Ovis aries: one gene and its partner. The protein of the gene in region 1 interacts with the protein of each later gene in a pairwise test. Links are inferred from orthologs where the notes say so. Each region holds a gene or a part of one and is shown on either strand. Other genes may lie near its edges.

Region 1 (3,642 bases):
GAATGCAAAAGTAGGAAGTCAAGAAATACCTGGAGTAACAGGTAAATTTGGCCTTGGAATGCGGAATGAAGCAGGGCAAAGGCTAATAGAATTTTGCCAAGAGAACACATAGCAAACCCCCTTTTCCAACAACAGAAGAGAGGTCTACACATGGACACCACCAGATGGTCAACACCGAAATCAGATTGCAGCCAAAGATGGAGAAGTTCCATACAGTCAGCAAAAACAAGACTGGGAGCTGACTGTGGCTCAGATCATGAACTCCTTATTGCCAAAATCAGACCTAAATTGAATAAAGTAGGGAAAACCACTAGACCATTCAGGTATGACCCATAAAGAAGGCAGAGTGCCAAAGAATTGATGCCTTTGAATGATGTTGCTGGAGAAGACCCTGGAGAGTCCCTTGGACTGCATGGAGATCAAACCAGTCCATCCTAAAGGAAATCAACCCTAAATATTAATTGGAAGAACTGATGCTGAAGCTGAAGCTCCAATACTTTGGCCACATGATGATGTGAAGAACTGACTCATTGGAGATGACCCTGATGCTGGGAATATTGAAGACACAAGGAGAAGGGGGCAGCAGAGGATGAGATGGTTAGATAGCCTCACTGACTCAATGGACGTGAATTTGAGCAACGTCTGGGAGATTGCTCTGGAGGACAGAAGAACCTGGCATGCTGCGATCCTTTGGGTCACAGAGAGTCAGACACAACTTTGCAACTGAACGACACCAAGACGAGGGAAACTAAACAAGTTAATTGAGAGTGTTGTTTGCATGAACGTGGAAAAGGCATCAGAAACCTCCCGAGTGAGAGCAAACCTGGTCCCTTCCTGAGTTTCATCCAGGTGAGCTCGTGGGGACCTTGGAGGCAGCGCGGGTCGTGGCGGTGCCTGCCTAGCGCCCGTGGCCCGCAGTCACGGCCTCTCGCTTCATGTGCTTTGTGTCGTGAGATCTCACGTGTGTCCCTTCACACGGATTCACGTGGGGGTGCATGTGTGCGTGTTCTGGTCCAGGTCCATCCAGCGCACGTGGAGTATCTTAATGTCACGTCTCAGATGCTTGTGAGCAGGAACACGTTCTCAGTTTCCATAGTCTGTCCTGGAGCTTTGAAGTGTTCAGACTGGACTTCTGTGGGGTCACCCTCAGTCCCAGGCGGCTTGCTCTGCTGGCTCCTGGTGGCCAGACACGCTGGGGTGTAGTGGGGCATAGTGGGGCGCGGTGGGGCGTGAGCTCGTGCAGAAGCCCCAGGCTGCTGCAGGTCAGGGGGAAGTGGGGCCGTGTCACATAGTGGGCCGAGCAGCATGGAGAGTGACTGGTGTGCCTTTGGGTTGTGGAAGGCGGGGGCTGGGTCCCTCTGAGTGTGAGTCAGACCAGTCCTGGCAAGGGGGTGGTGGTGGCCCGCTGACACTGGTCAGGTGGACTTGGTGACGGACGTGGAGCCGGGGGGCCTTGATGTCCAGGTGGTCTCTGACCCAGGCGGCCAGAGAGCAGTGGCCCGTCCGCTCACAGAGCCAGTTGGCCCAGTCTGTTACACAGAGCTTTGGCAGGAAGACACAGTGATTGGCCAGTTTGCCACTTGCCGGTTAGTTTCCCGTATTTGTGCGCACACAGCTGCAGCACTGGTCCCTGAGCCCCGGGAGCCCGTGGTGAGGGCTCTGCCCGCTTCTCTGTTACAGACTCCACGGAGACCGAGGACTCAGGCGCGTCTTCTCAGAAGTCCAGTGTGTTGACACAAAAGATGTTAAACGCCTTACCTGCTCCTGAGAAGTACAGGAAGCGGAGGATGCCTGGCGGGAGGTTCCAGGCACCTGCAGAGGAGGCCTGTCTCAGCTCTCTGGAGGGGAGCCTGAGTGTGAGCCGGAGGAGCGGTTCGGAGGCCTGGGGCCAGGCCGCCTCTTCCCTCTCGGCCACCCCAGGGCCCGAGCAGCCAAGACCACCCAGCGCCAGCGAGGTGAGCAGGGCTGAGGGTGCTCGCCGAGCCCCCAGGGTGGATGCTGCCCTCACGTGCCCGTCTCCGTGGCGCGGTCACGGCTGCCGTTAGAAAATGCCCTTCTGGGCTGCCTTCTGGGGCGGGGTGCCTTGAGGTGTCGTCTCGGGCCTGCTGCCCACACGGCCGCTGGTCCCGCGGTTGGTGCTCCCCCGGGGCTGTCGTGACCGCAGTCCCAGCTGTGTGTGCTGTGCCTCCCCTGGTTCAGGAGAGGAGGTTCTCCCCAGATTGTCCCACAGCGGTTGTAGACTGTGCCTCGCTGCCATTGTTATGGCCGAGTTGGAGACTGAGACGTTCTCAAAGGTTTGGGGCTCAAGTGAAGACCAGCGTGCAGACATAGGGCAGCGGGCAGCCCTGCCGCAGCGCCCCGCGTGGGCAGAGGAGGGGAGAGCACCCCAGCTGAGAGGGCCTGGGGGGGCGCTGAGCCCCTGTGGTTGGTCCTGAATGGAGACCAGCAGAACCAGGGACGCTGCGCTCGTAGGTGCTGGGTGGTTCGTGGCTGCCGCAGGCCACGGGCCGGGGTCTGCTCCCACGGCTGGTCTGGCTGCATCTTCCGTCTCTCACTGGGCTGAGGGAAGGAGTGAAAATGGAGATTCGCTTGAGTCAGGACTGCTGGGGCTTTCCTGTCCCCGAATGGAGCCGCCCCCATGGACCCCACTCACTGTGGGGTTGGGACTTTGCACAAGGGGGTGCTGCCTGCAGCTCCCCTCCTTCCAGCACTGTGACCCCAGGTGGTTGTCTTGGAGAGGGCTTGACCCCGGTTCCTCAAGTGGGAGGCAGAAGCCTGACCCCACTGGGCTCTTTTCCTGCGCCTGACGCCGCGTCGGTGCAGCTTCTGACAGAAGTGTTGGTGCGGTGCTCCTGGATGCTCTCACCCTCTGCTGCTTGTGGCCAGCTGTTGGCCTCAGTGTGCGCACGTCGACCAGCCCCAGGGGACAGCTGCCCCGGCCCGATGACCCCTCGTGGGCCTGTGCCTTCCCGAGCCCTGGGTTCCCGCGGGTGGGGAGTGGCGGGAGTGAGGGGCCCAGTGGCTCCTGCACCCCCTTCTGGGTCTGGCTGGCTGTCCCAAGATGCTCTTTGGGAGGAAACTTTTGCTTTCTCTAACAGTGAGGGCACCAGGCCTCATCCCAGCTCTGGCCTTGCTGGTATTGACTCGCTAAATCCCTGCTTCTCAGGAAATGTTCCCTGGACACTCAGAAAGTGAGCCGGCGGGTAGGAGCCAGCTCCCTTTCTGCAGTAATCCCTTAAAACTGATGAAATGATTTCTAAAGGGAAGAAAAGTGAGCTCTGATGGAAATGCCTGTGGCTGTGGGCCCAGCGTGGCTGGGGCCGGGTGGGGCCACGAGGCTCTGCCCGGCAGCTTGTTGCTGCACCAGCCCAGCCAGCCCTCCCTCTGGTCCTGTGTGCACTGGTCTACTCCAGGCCACCAGGCTCCAGTGAGCGTTCGGGCCGAGACTGTTTCCTCCCCACCCCACAAGAGTGGCTGGGGCTGGTCAGGAGGGCCCAGCCTGACCAGCCTCTGACTGACACAGGCCACAACTCAGCCGTTCCTCCCGCTGAGGGATGGTTTCCCCGCCCCCCAGACATGGACAGGCATGCAGGGGCAGGGAGGCGAGTCCCACGCACCGTGCCTGCAGGTGTGCGCAGCGTG
Region 2 (4,168 bases), on another chromosome or scaffold:
GTTCGGGGTGGCAGTCTCAGAAATACCTGATCGCTGGCAAGTAGCATCTGAAGTCCCACAAGACTCAATTCAAAAACTAAGCTCTGAGCTGGAGGACCATTCTGGCTGGCATGGGCAAGCTGAGAGAGCTATCGCATGAAGTGGAGGAAAAGCCCTGATCTTACAAAAGTCGGGAGAAGAGGGGTTGTGGATAAGGGTAAAAAGTTTGAGGATGTAAATTCAAAACTCATTCACCTTAAGCTAACACTCCACAAGCAAGTCATTGTTTTATGTGCTTTACAAACTTGTTTAATTCTCTTTACATCCTATAAAGTCAAGTCAAGTCAAGTTGCTCAGTTGTGTCCGACACGACCTCATGGACCGTAGCCTACCAGGCTCCTCCCAGTACTGGAGTGGGTTGCCATTTCCTTCTCCAGGGGATCTTCCCAACCCAGGGATCGAACCCAGGTCTCCCGCATTCCAGGCAGACGGTTTAACCTCTCAGCCACCAGGGAAGCTTACATTTCCTTCTCCAGGAAGGAACCTGGACCCAGGGATTGAACCTGTGTCTCCTACATTGCAGGCAGATTCTTAACCATTTTGAGCCACCAGGGAAGCTGCACAGGTACTAACTACAGCAAATATTTAACAGTAGTAGTGTTAGTCGCTGGAGAAGGACATGGCAACCCACTCGTGTTCTTGCCTGGAGAATCCCAGGGACAGAGGAGCCTGGTAGGAGGCCGTCTATGGGGTCGCACAGAGTCGGACACGACTGAAGCGACTTAGCAGCAGCAGCAGCAGTGTTAGTCGCTCAGTTGTGTCCGCCTCTGCCCATCATTTTCTCCTTTGAACTACTTGAGGCACTGCTTTGGGCAAATTCAGCCACTTATACAGCCTCGCTACAAGCTGTAAAATAACTAAAAGCGAAAACCTAAAACGAAGGGCAGGCCGGTGTGTATGAGTGCGCGAAAGGGGTAGGCGGCCGCCGAGGTTCTTCCGGCTATGCCTTTGTCTAATTGCCCCGCGTGATTGGCTGGAACCCCGCGCCGAGGGACTGCAGAGGCGCCCCCCAACCCCCACCCCTCCGGCTTCCGTTACGCACGCGTGGAGGAAGCGGGTAGGGCAGTCGGGGAAAGGGCGCAAAGAAGGGCGTGTGAAAGAAGCCGCAAAAAGCACAGAGGCGTAACTCCCCCCGCCCCGCCCAACCTTTGCCTCCGCCCCTCTGCCCCGGTCCGAGCTTCAGCCCCATTGGCCCAAGAGTCAAAGGACCGGGCCTGCCCCAAGATATGCCTGCTTCCGGAGCCACGGTAAGGATGGCCAATTGCGATGCCGCTTTCTGGCATATGTTTAGGACACACCGGTGGGGCCTGAAGGGGGTTTGTGCGGCAACCTAAGCAGTTGAGAGTTCAACGGCAGATTTTGGAAATGCCCCCGAAAGGAAAAAGCGGTTCTGGAAAAGGGGGAAAAGGTAGAAACCAAGAAGAAATGGGGTTGGGTGAGGAGCAAGGCGGAGGGAGCAGACCGCCGGGGTCCGGGGCGGAGGCAGCGGGTTGCCAGTGACTAGAGGACTGACCAGGAAGTGATGTTAGAAACAATCAATACAGACTTCAGTTTTTATTTAAAAGCATGGGGATTAGATGGTGGATAGAAGAGGAGAAAGGATTACAAGAAAGTTTGATTTTGTTAGTTTCTTCCGAATGGGCAAAACTTGGGAGTGAGGCTGTCATGAAGGATCCATTAGTTAGGTAAAGCTACAGGGTAGTGAAATTTGGGAAAAAAGAGGTAGAGCAGTTAGTTGACTTTGAGAAGAAGGGACATCTTAAGCTTGACGTCACAGAGATGAAGATGGATGTGGTGATAAAAAGTGGAAGGCAAGAGTAGTTTTTAAAACAGCAGGGCAAGTACTGAGTAGGGGTCTTGAGGACAGTGTTAAGCGTTTGGAATAGTCATTGGGGTGGTAAGAGGGGATGAAACACTTAAAAAAGGATTGCCCTTAGGGCTGAGAGCTTAAGATTGAAGGCTATGAATTTCTGTAGGACACAATCTGCTCAGTCATGATTTACCTAGTACCATATAACTGGCACAATACAGGATTGAGACGAGCTAAGTATAACCTGTAGCCAAGGTTGAGGTTTTGTTGGACAATGATAATAGAAGAAAAGCAACACAAGGGAATTACGAATGCCACTAGGGACACGGTTCAGATGATCAAGCATGGGATCCAGACTGGGAAGGGAAGAAGTTTGATAGCATAGGAGAACATAGGAGGATAAAGGAACTGAATGGGGGGAAGGAGGAGGTGTTTCTGTGACATTAAAGAACCTGTGTTGTGGGAGTGAGGCATGAGAAGGCTGGAAGAACAGAAAGTTGTAGCCAGAGATTGAATTAGTTGTGAGTGGCACAGTTTGATCACATGCCCCTGGGAACAGGTGGCCTGGAGTAAAAGGCATGGGTATTTGGGAGGGAGGTCTAGAAATGTGAGGTTAGGCTGTTGGATGGTTCCTCTGAATAGATAGTGAAGTCACCCAAGATTAGGGCAGTAGTGAGGATGGAAAGGAAGCCTGAAGTTGCTGCCAGAGTTCTCAGTCAGAGGGAGTGAAGGGGCATTCAGAAGATGATAGCATCCATTGGGGCAGGGGGTGGGATGACCAGAAGGCATCTTTGTTCTAGAGAAAATAAGTTTAGTGTAATAAAACTCCTTTGGCAGTAACATTTTCTTAGGCATTTGGTGGTTGGCATTTTGGATATTCAGTTTTGTGGAACATTTATTGAACAACTTTTGGGTGCTCGGCATTGGGGTTCCTAAGACAGGATGGAGTCTCCTGAATAAAATTTTAATGCGTCCCTATTACTTCTAGGATAAATTCCAAGTTCCTTAATGGGGCTCAAAGGCCCTCATGCCCTAACCCTCAGCCACCTCCCCTGGGTTCCTCTCACAGCACTCCCACTTCAGATTTGGCTTCGTCCCTAGTTTCCCCCCACATACTACACTGTTCCCCTACCCTGGAATTCTCCTCACCATTGTCCTGTCTTTGCCTGTTCAGCTCCTACTCATCCAGGAAACCTTCTTTAACTGGCTAAAATGTACCTCTGTGCTTCCACAGCCCCCTATTTATACAGCATAGCTCATCCTCCTGAAATGATCTTTTACATGATTTTACATAACGATATTCCCGAGTAGTATATGAGCCCCCTGAAGGAATGTATTATGCCATTTGGGCTTGTTCATCTTTGTATCTCCAGTGTCTGGAACTTAGTTACTTAGGAAATGTTTATGAACTGAACACTTAAACCAACAATAGTTCTTAGGAACATCAGCCTCTAACAGTAAATATGCTGCCATCAAAACAGAAACTGGCATAGTAGCAAAATGACACAGTAATAAAATGTAAAATACTGCCCATTGTGTTAATCTGAATATTGATAACTTCTTAGGAAGGTTATCAGTAGGCAATGTCATTGACTCCAGGAGTTTGGACATGAATGTATTCTTTACCCAAATATGGGTGGTAGGAAATTTGATCTTTATTTAAAATATATTCTTGGACATTTTACCTCCTATAATTGTGAGTATCCAAGTACATAGCTGCCGTGCTTATTAGAAATCTCACAAGAGCTCCAGGGTTTGCTCTTAGAAGGCAGGATTTCAAACTGGGTCTAGAGAAATCAGGCCAGGTTTTTGGTGCTCCCATTCAACTATTAGCACACTCACTTGTGTATCCATTTTCCATGAAGGGTTTTTGTAAGGCACAAATTTCTTGTTTTAAGAGGTATGTTACAGGTTAATTTCGCTTGATGTAAAGTGTCTGCAGAGTTCCCTTTTGAAGCTTGGTGCTGTGATGGAAGTATCAACTCCTATTGTGTTGAATAATAAGGTGAAAGTGTAGTTTAAATGAGTACTTGTCATCTCTTCTCTAAAGGAAAAGCAGCCTCTGGGAGTGAGAGTTCTGAGAAGAAGGCTCAGGGTCCCAAAGGTGGTGGCAATGCAGTAAAGGTGAGTTACTCTGCTCTTTTCTTTTTTTTTTTTTTTTCATTTTAAATATAAATAACATATACATCTGTTATTTTGGTACACATAAAAGGAAAAGACAGCATGCTTAACTCATCCTAAGGCTAGCCTAATACTGACAGAAGATCAAGATAACACAAAAGTGATGCTCCCTTCGGCAGCACATGTGCTCCCTTCGGC

What was found.
Region 2: the proteins of CEP72 (region 1) and PIN4 interact in binary tests that used the Homo sapiens proteins (3 or more experiments, as listed by UniProt). The two-hybrid records come from large-scale screens. The link is inferred for Ovis aries from reciprocal best matches to the Homo sapiens genes CEP72 and PIN4.

What each region holds. Positions count from the first base shown.
Region 1 is NC_056069.1:71,549,329-71,552,970, reverse strand, and holds part of CEP72 (centrosomal protein of 72 kDa), read left to right. Parts: intron 1-1,680; coding exon 1,681-1,955; intron 1,956-3,642. UniProt on the Homo sapiens protein: Involved in the recruitment of key centrosomal proteins to the centrosome.
Region 2 is NC_056080.1:64,766,966-64,771,133, forward strand, and holds the start of PIN4 (peptidyl-prolyl cis-trans isomerase NIMA-interacting 4), read left to right. Parts: upstream 1-1,351; 5' UTR 1,352-1,404; coding exon 1,405-1,447; intron 1,448-3,899; coding exon 3,900-3,973; intron 3,974-4,154; exon of another isoform or gene 4,155-4,168.